Rattus norvegicus: one gene and its partner. The protein of the gene in region 1 binds, or shares a complex with, the protein of each later gene. Links are inferred from orthologs where the notes say so. Each region holds a gene or a part of one and is shown on either strand. Other genes may lie near its edges. The genes, in order: Mus81 and Eme2.

Region 1 (4,388 bases):
ATTTTTTAAAACGGGAAATGCTACAATATAGTTTGAGAACTTCGGCTTTTTTAAAAGACATTTGGCAAATTCTTAAGTCAATGGGTAATTCGTAGGGAAAGGGTGAAGAATTGTGCATTAAAGACTTTATATTTCATTTACTAGGATACAAGAAAAGGAATACTTCAACTTAGTTCCCGAGTTGATAGATTTATGATTATTTTAACACAAAGACTCTCTATGAAAGCAAGAGTTTAAAATAAACTGGGGTGGGAAATCCAGCAAGATTTCTCTGACCTCAAACAATGACCATGGAGTCACACTCTGCAGAAAAAGAGGGCAAGGTCACAAACAAGTCAGAGGCAGACGAAATAGGGGCCTTGACTTCCCCAAGCGGAATAAAGGGTGTAAATGAGGAGCTACCCCAGGAGCAAGGCAACACGCAGAGGATGCCGGGGGTTGTAGTCAGGGGCTTTCTGCTGCACGAAGGGTCTAAGCTGCAGGAGCTCCAAGTGGAGGCCAAAGCTTGACCCCCTCCTATCCCAAGTGCCGAGGCTAAAGAGAAGACGAGCTCCGCCTTAAACGAGACTCGCAGTTTCCCAGAGCAACGGGGGGAGGGGCTACGCAGTTACCCTGGAGACGCGCTTCTTCCGCCCCCGGCCGCGGGATGCCCTAGATGTCCTTATTAGGGCATGAGCCTCCAGAGGGCGTGCCCAGCCCAAGCGCCAGCTGCAGGCTCCTTATAAGGCTGCTTGAGGGAGGAGGCGGGTGCGGAAAGCTAGATTGAGACGAGGGTCTGCGAATTGGGCGCCCAGCGACTTCCGGCATGACAGCTGAAGACCGTGCGTTGTTCCAAACCCTAAAGGGACCACTGTGCTCTATTGAGCCTTGTGTCCCTCAGTCTGAGTCATCCTTCCCTCAGCAAGGTTCCCATCTTTATCCTCCCTGAGGCTCCTTCACCTTTAATGAGCCACAAAAGCAAAGTGTCTACCAGCTTTCCCGGAATCCAGCCTTGAGCCCATGTTCGAACTCCCCACCTGCCAGGACACACCTTTTATTTCTCCTTGCCCTTGCGATACACATCCTCGTCATTCACCTAGCCTGAGACTTCTGTGCCCATCCCCGACTTCGCACATTTCGAGATCTTACTGCCACTCCTGCCTTACCTTTATTTCATCCCTTGCACCCCATCATAGATGTCTCTCTCACAAATGTTCTTGGGCTTGTGTCCGTCCTTCTCCCCCCACTTTTCTCAAGCCTTTTTCTAGCCTCTTCTACGATAGTGAGCCTGAAATAGCCTTGAGACCTTGAAGCAAGCAGGCAAGTTCAGGTTTCTGAGCGTACCCCCACCCCCACCCCCACCCCACTCCCCGCCGCCAGCCAGCCCTCCCAGTCACAAGGGGCGCTGTCCGCTCTTTTAACAGTCAGCCTAAAAAACGACTCTGCTCTCGAATTTTTGGGTGAGAGGAAAGGGTGGGTCAAAGCTCGGTGGCCTGGGTGGGGCCTGTCCAAAAGGCTGGTGCTGGCGGCGAATGGGGGCGGTCCTAAGAGCAAGGAGATGCATGCCGAACTTACAAGCCTCTTGCTGCATAGTACATGGGGAAGGGAGGGCAATCCTTGATCTAGTGCCCTACTAGGCTGGAGAGGTCCTACCCTCAAACAAGTGTCCTTATACCAATTGAACCGTCGAGATCCCAGTCTCAGGGTTTTTTGAGACTCCGAAAGAACCAGTGTAGATCTTATGGCGGAGCCGGTCCGCTTGGGCCGGAAGCGTCCGCTGCCTGTTTGCCCCAACCCGCTCTTCGTTCGTTGGCTAACCGAGTGGCGGGACGAGGCAGCCAGCAGAGGGCGCCACACGCGCTTTGTGTTTCAAAAGGTGAGTCCCAGCTGTTTTCTAGTGACAGGCTCTGGCAGAGCCAGGTGATCATGAATCCTAGTTTGATGAGTTCCCTTCTCCCTTGTGCTCGCCAGGCACTGCGCTCCCTCCAGCGGTACCCGCTACCATTGCGCAACGGGAAAGAAGCCAAGATACTCCAGCACTTCGGAGACAGGCTCTGTCGCATGCTGGACGAAAGGCTGAAGGAGCACCTAGCATCAGGCGGTGAGCACCTCTGGGAGTTGGTGATCTAAACTTCTTAGGTGCTGGCTGTGTCCACTTTAACTTCAAATATCCCCCTCACAATGTGGTTGCTGTTCCACCCAGGGCTAGTGATTGATGCTCTGTAAACCTCCTAGTTCTCACGAACAAAGCTAGCTCACTGAGACAGGGTGGGTGGGTGGAGTTGTGAAACAAGACCATGAAGGTAGAAGAGTCAGAAGCATTCTCAATTTCATAGTGACTTCAAAGCTAGCCTGGGCTATCTGAGGCTATCTCCAAAAAATGACATGGGTTGGGCATAGTGATTCATGCTTTTAATCTCAACACTCAAAGGAAGCAGAGGCAGGAAAATCTTGGCGAGTTAGAGGCCAGCCAGGGCTTCACTCAGTGAGACCCTGTCTCCAAACCAAAACCCCAGTTGCGGGGGATCCAGCCCCCACTTCTGGCCTCTTCTAGTATTGCATGCAAGTGATACACAGACATACACAGGTGAAACACTCACATACATACAATAAAACACAAAAAAGTTTTAAAATACGACACTCAAATTCACAAAGTGAGCAGACTACATCTAGGCTCCTCCTGGGAGCCGAATGGTGTGCAGGACTGACTTTCTTCTGATCTCTACAGGTGACCATGCCCCCAGCTCACCATCTGGAAAGAAGAGAGCCAGCAAAGGGCCACCTGCCCAGGTCCAGGGCTCTTCCATGCCAGTGAGGATTGGGAAAGGAAGAAAGCTAAAGGGAGGTGGGAATGGGGGCAGGGGCGTTGAGAGTAAGACTTCTTGGTTTGACTGAGATTGGCGCAGGCCAGTCTTCTACCCTCTGTGAGAGGCTCGATCTTAATTCCTAAGTAGGATTATTGACACTACTGTATACAGAGTTCCAAAGGGAGCTGCTAAAAGATCTAGCCCAGAAAGCTGTGGGACATCTACCATGTTATTCTTCCATAGTTGTAGCTGGGGACTGGGCCTGGCACATACCTCCAACTTTTGCTGCTGCTCTCCCACCATCACATTCCAGATTTGCAAGCGTTTATAGCTTCATCTCCCTCCCCTGTGACTCTCAGGTTCCCACCCAGCCTCAAGCAGGAAGCACCAATGCTGGCTATTGGCCAGCTCAGAACTCAGGTGCTCGAGAGATCCTGCTGCAGCTCTACAGGGAGCACCTGGTAAGCCAGTCAGGCTCATGGGTGGGATGCAGCAGGATGGTCACAGAAGTGCCTGGGTAGTGTGTACTGGCCACTCCATGTCAGGGTGAGGAGCCCTGGACCTGAACCTACCTCATCTCTACCACTGTTTCAGAATTCTGATGGCCACAGCTTTCTAACCAAAGAGGAGCTGCTGCAGAAATGTGCCCAGAAGACCCCCAGGGTGAGCATCCGCCGAGAGTGGGCGGGTAGAGCCCACTGCAGTTTTCCCTTCATGGCAGACACCCTTGGGGTAAACCTGATCCAAATGTGGCGTATGGTCAGGGGCCTCTCTGAGGGTCTCCTTCCCTTTCACAGGTAGTGCCTGAAAGTTCAAGACCCTGGCCTGCCCTCCGAGGGCTCCTCCACAGGAACCTAGTCCTCAGAACTCATCGGCCAGCCAGGTTGGGCAAGGAACGGGGAGCACATGAGGCAGGGATGGGACACATGCAGGAGTTAGGGCATTCTTAGCCTCTCTAATGACCCAACAAGTCTTAGACCTGGTGCTGCTGAGGCTGGGGAAGGCCAGCCTACCTGCTAAAAAGCCTGATACTGGAAGACCTGGGGAGTATGAGCCTCTGAGGGGAGGGAGGACAGTATGATGAGTGAAGACAGGGGAAGGAGTTGGGAGACACGCATTGCAAAGCTGAGACACCATTAAGGGAGGTCCTGAAGAAGCTGACCTGAGGGACAAGGAGACAGAGGAGATGGGGAGCCATTGAACTTATACCAAAGAGGGTAAGGCTCACCTAGTTGAGGGAAGGAGAGCATGTCAGGGATAAAGAAGATTAAAAACTTCATGTGTCCCTCACCTCCTAGGTATGCACTGACACCAGAGGGCCTGGAGCTGGCCCAGAAGCTGGCTGAGGCAGAAGGCCTGAGCACTCTGAACACTGCCTTTCAGCCAGAGGAGCATCATGAAGAGTCACCAGTTCCAGAAGCCATCTTGTCAGAACCGTAAGAGAGAAATGGGGCAACCATACCTTTATCTCAGAGACTTATAACTGAGCCCAATGCCCCATGAGTCATGGGAACTACTCTGGCACTGAAGGTTCTGGCCTTATGCACAGCCTCCACTCCATTGTAGTGGCACTACTGAGGTGGGCGTCCAACAGAGACCACT
Region 2 (4,383 bases), on another chromosome or scaffold:
CTCCTGGGGCTCTGCAATCCCAGCACATTTGAGCCCAAAACGCAGCGGCAGCGCCCAAGACCTGCCTGAGTGTACCGCCCAAGGCCTGCCTGCGTGTACCATAGCACCAGGCGCTCTGCTCCACACTGCCACCTTCCCTCCCTTTTCCAACGGTACACACATAATGAAACCACAGCACAGGCCATTTCGGGAGTTTATTTCCAGACGGAGGAATCGGCGAGGGGCCGCCTGAAAATCACAATCTGTCATCTGCCCCATTATTCATTGGCAGATGTGTCAAGGCTTTAGGGTCTCCCCACCAAAGGGGAGATTCTGACACAGTCAAAGACACTTGTCCATCAAATGACTCACAGGACCTCTCTGCCAATCCTGGCAGTTAGACTGGGGTGCCCTTGGCTCTCCCTTTAGTCTCCTGTTTTGCAGGGTAGTCCCAGGGGCGCATTCGAGTCCTCTCCAGGTTCAGGAGCGGCTCCTCGACGCTGGTATCCCCGTTTTTCTGTCGCTCAGCGAGGATCATGGCCCGCAGCAGAGGTGGGTAGGGGACAAGGTTCAATCTGTCCTCTGCTTTCCCAGTGAACGCAGTGAAAGCCTCCTCCTCGTGCTTGGGTACCAACCGCCAATCGTGGTACATGACTTGCTCGATTTCCCGAGCCGTTTCCTCACTCTTCCCTGAAGGAAAGAAGACATGCTGACTACCTGCTGGCCGGATAATATGCGAACCATCACCGGCTCCATCCAGCACCCAGCCTTACCTTTGAAAGTCAGGATACCCCAGGCCCTCCCGTGGTCCAAGTTCTGCAGAACAAGAGGAAGGATTGTCAACACAGAGCCCATGCCACTAGGTTACGTGGGCAAGGGAGACAAACACCCCCAGGTGGTTCCCGGGTGGGTAGAACCAGTCCAGGGTGAGCAAGATGAAAGTGTAAGCAGGGAACGAGCGCACCTGCGCCGTGTAGTCAGGCCTCACACGCGTGAGGCGCCAGTAGCATGGCTCGTCGTGCTGCCACAGCCAGGACTTGCGGGTAACCAGACGACCCAGGCCAAACAAGGGGAGGCGGGCGAGCAGCTGTAGAAGGCGGCTCTCGCGACGTACGTCGGCCCAGGCGCGCACTGGCAGCCGGCGACCAGAGTGCGGCCGGGTCAGCGTCTCGTAGTCTAGGGCGTAGAGCTGCGAGTCTCGCGGCTGGTTCCGCTGCTCGCGCAAGGCGCGCACGCGGCGGGCCAGCTCAGCGATCAGCCGGGGTTTCACTTTCTTCCGCGCCATGCCGGTGTCCTTACTCCACAGGAAACCTGCGCTTCACCAGCTCCCCATTCCGGAAGCGGCCAGTGTCCTGAACAAAAGCATCCGGGTACGTCCGGAAGCTGTAGGAAGGATGGGTTTATGGCGGAGGTGGGACCTGAGAGAGTCCCGGGCTCCCATCGCGGTCGGGGCCGGGGCCCGCGCCTCGGCCATCGGCGACCTCAGACCTGGGAGATTTCCGACTCAGACGCCGAAGGTGCCCCTGCTAGAGAAGTCGGCACGCCAGCCCGGAGTTCAGTAGGAGAGCGAAGAGCTGCGGCCAAGGCTTTACGGGCAGATCAGGTCCTGGAGCGTCTGGTGGTGTGCGTGGACCCAGGTGAGGGGACCGGGGCAGGGAATCTGGGGCCAGCCACACGACGGGGTAGCGTCGTCACCCGCTAGTCCTCACTGGAGATGGTGGAATAACCGCATTATCGCCTACTGGGTCCAGCTGTGCTGGAAGATGCAGGCTCCGACATCCTGATGGAGGCGCTGGGTACACTAGGCTGTGAATGCCGCATTGAGCCGCAGCACCAGGCCCGCAGCCTACAGTGGAGCGTTGTGAGGCCCGACCCGGCCCTCAGCAATGTGAGTGTCTCCCTATGACCAGCCCAGTGCCAGTCCTAATCCATGTTTCATTTTTCCTCTGGCTAGGGAGGTAGCTGCATTCATCTTTCTCGCCTCGCATAAGAGTAACCTAAAAACTGGAGGATGCCCAAGTCGAGCTGCTGCCAGAGAACCTCCTCTTGGCAATGAGGATGGGGATTGGGCTACTTTGGTATTCTGGGACTTCTGGGGAATAGTCCTAAGCTGGCCTGAACGTCACTGTGTGTGGAGCCTGGAGGGCTATTGATAGTGTCTGATGACTGACTTGCCAGAGGCGGGAGAAGCCCTGCACCCCACACAGGTGGCTAGCAGGGCCGCTGATCCCCTACAGGTGCCTCAGGAGGGGAAGGCTGAAAATGAGCAGGAACAGTTGCTGCTGCTGGAACCCCAGGAATTTCTTCAGGGTGCTGTGCAGCTGACCCAGGTATTCGGGGAAAGGTCTGTCTTTGGTAGGTCTCGCTCCCCAGTCTGGGATGAGCTGGAGCTTCTGTTGAGGATGGTGAAGGTGCTGAGGGTAAGAGGAAGAAACCTGCCGAGTGCTCTAGCCATAAGAACATTGAGGGACCTTTGGGAGAATTGCGAATAGTGACCTGGACTGCAAACTGGCCGGGGGTGTGGTGGGGGAGGAGCCCAGAATCCTAGCTGGTTCTGTCCATGTGCTGTAGGTCCAGGCTGTGGTGTCTGTCTACAACAGCTAAGAATCCCTCACTTGTCTGCTGACTTCCCTAGACTCAAAGGAAGCAGTGCCTAGCTGATATCTGCTAAAGGCTTTGTAGGTGTTGATGTCCTAGGGCCAACATTTGTCAGACACTTGCTGGGCGCTGCCCAATGTCCAGGCTGGGTGTAGAAATGGACCAGAAGAGGGCTGGCTCCCTTCTACACTAAAACCTGGAGTGCCTGTGTACTCCTGGGCCTTAAGGAAACAGAACTGAGTTCCAGAAAACAGAGGACCTATACGTTTCCCTCTGGAAACTGGCCATACTGGTGGCTACAGGTCTGCTGCCAAAGCCCTCCTGTGAACAAGTGTGGGGATATTCTGGTTTGCAGATGACAGACCCACCTTGCTCCGTCCCCTGGCTTTCTCCCGAGAGTCCCACCCGCTCCCATCTGGCGGTCATCGGACTGGATGCGTACCTGTGGTATCACCTTCAGCCTCAGAGGGGCGGGTGGGGTGGGATTCCAGGGAAGTGGATTGCCCCAGCCGCCCTGTCACCTGATCCCACTTGGCTTGGGTGGGCTGTGCCGATGTGGGAAGACTTGGGAGCCCAAAAGATGGTTGCCTCTGTTCAGTTCTTGCAAGCCCAGTTCTCAGAAGACGTGGCCACCAAAGAAGTCAGAGGAAGCCCAGGCCAGGGTAGCCATCAGCTGGTCAGAGGTGGAGGAGGTGAGAACTGTTGCTCAGTTGTTAGATGCCCGGCCTTTGTCTCTGCACTTGGGCTGCGGTCTGGCCTGTCAGAACTGGGCTTAATTCCCAGCGTCATTGGATTGGTATTCCCCAGAGGACAAGATCCATGCCCACTCTCACACTCCCCAGGCTCTGGTACTGCTTCAGCTCCATGCAAACTTGGATGTGCTGCTGGTAGCCTCGTGGCGAGAGCTGAGTCAGTATGTGTGTGCCTTCACCAAGGCCCTCGCCCAGCTCCCCTCTAAGTATGTACCCCTGCAGGCACTGAGTGTAGACAGGGCAGGGTTGGAGGGCTGCACAGATAGTGTTCTCAAAGCCTGTCTGGGTGTCTCCATTTCAGGCGGTTCCGGGACTCCCAGGCCTTTTCTTTCTGTACAGCAGGGCACTGGGCCTCAGGCCAGCAAGTGACCAGAGATGGCTCTGGGCTCAGAGGAGTGTGGTGGCGACAAATCAGACAGTTCAACCGGGTCAGCCCAGCTGTGGCTGATGCTGTTGTTACTGCCTTCCCCTCACCCCGCCTTTTGCAACAGGTGAGTCCCCTAAATTTCTCCTTCCAGGACCAGGACTTAAGGTGTACCTACTCACACCTGTGCCCACTCTAGGCTCTACTGGACTGCAGCACAGAGCAGGAGCGCCTGAGCCTCCTAGCTGACCTCCCTGTGAAGGCCCCTGGGGGCAAGCAGCCTCGCAGAGTGGGGCCTGACCTCTCTCGAAGAATCTGTATCTTCTTGACCACCACCAACCCTGACATCCTGCTGGACCTGAGCTCTTGACCGCACCTTGGGTCGCCTCCTGCCCATCAATACAACAAGACAGGCCTGCCCAAGAATCTGACTAATTACTCTAAGGGGCAGGCAAGGAGGTTTGGGTCCAGCCCGGGGTAGACTCTGTTGCCCAATGGTCAAACGGAAGCACCATGGGAGGTGGGGGAGGAGGAGGGAAGCTGAGGTGAACATAAGAGTGCAGGGTAGTGGCCTGGCCACAAGGGCCCTAGAGGTGACTGGGATTTCAACTTGCTTTTGGCCTGGACACTTGTTGCAGGAAGCTTAGTAGCAGGTGTGAGTGCCTAATTGTACTATTACAGCCCCATGCT

The links.
Region 2: the proteins of Mus81 (region 1) and Eme2 are in contact, whole or in part, in a crystal structure (PDB 7F6L), measured with the Homo sapiens proteins. The link is inferred for Rattus norvegicus from reciprocal best matches to the Homo sapiens genes MUS81 and EME2. Residues at the interface, in NP_079404.3 of Homo sapiens: His330, Glu351, Phe354, Lys357, Arg358, Arg363, Val365, Glu381, Leu385, Gln386, Thr389, Asn390, Gln392, Val393, Ile394, Phe398, Lys400, Arg401, Tyr411, Leu414, Leu415, Arg417, Gly418, Leu419, Arg421, Leu422, Pro447, Ile464, Lys467, Ala468; in NP_001244299.1 of Homo sapiens: Glu140, Arg177, His179, Glu220, Glu221, Val224, Leu225, Gln227, Leu228, Trp229, Asn231, Leu232, Asp233, Leu235, Arg245, His246, Ala249, Val250, Lys252, Ala253, Leu254, Gln256, Tyr257, Lys260, Gln261, Glu264, Gln266, Phe268, Phe270, Cys271.

What each region holds. Positions count from the first base shown.
Region 1 is NC_086019.1:212,222,269-212,226,656, reverse strand, and holds the start of Mus81 (crossover junction endonuclease MUS81), read left to right. Parts: upstream 1-1,588; 5' UTR 1,589-1,720; coding exon 1,721-1,855; intron 1,856-1,950; coding exon 1,951-2,080; intron 2,081-2,707; coding exon 2,708-2,790; intron 2,791-3,145; coding exon 3,146-3,247; intron 3,248-3,380; coding exon 3,381-3,449; intron 3,450-3,583; coding exon 3,584-3,669; intron 3,670-4,084; coding exon 4,085-4,222; intron 4,223-4,316; coding exon of another isoform or gene 4,317-4,352; coding exon 4,353-4,388. UniProt on the Homo sapiens protein: Catalytic subunit of two functionally distinct, structure-specific, heterodimeric DNA endonucleases MUS81-EME1 and MUS81-EME2 that are involved in the maintenance of genome stability.
Region 2 is NC_086028.1:14,417,471-14,421,853, reverse strand, and holds Eme2 (probable crossover junction endonuclease EME2), read left to right. Parts: upstream 1-1,364; 5' UTR 1,365-1,381; coding exon 1,382-1,616; intron 1,617-1,730; coding exon 1,731-1,867; intron 1,868-2,216; coding exon 2,217-2,309; intron 2,310-2,932; coding exon 2,933-3,024; coding exon of another isoform or gene 3,025-3,175; coding exon 3,176-3,269; intron 3,270-3,419; coding exon 3,420-3,535; intron 3,536-3,630; coding exon 3,631-3,820; intron 3,821-3,847; coding exon of another isoform or gene 3,848-3,892; coding exon 3,893-4,063; 3' UTR 4,064-4,119; downstream 4,120-4,383. Other genes in the region: Mrps34 (28S ribosomal protein S34, mitochondrial), read right to left, coding at 377-669, 753-795, 944-1,264. UniProt on the Homo sapiens protein: Non-catalytic subunit of the structure-specific, heterodimeric DNA endonuclease MUS81-EME2 which is involved in the maintenance of genome stability. In the complex, EME2 is required for DNA cleavage, participating in DNA recognition and bending.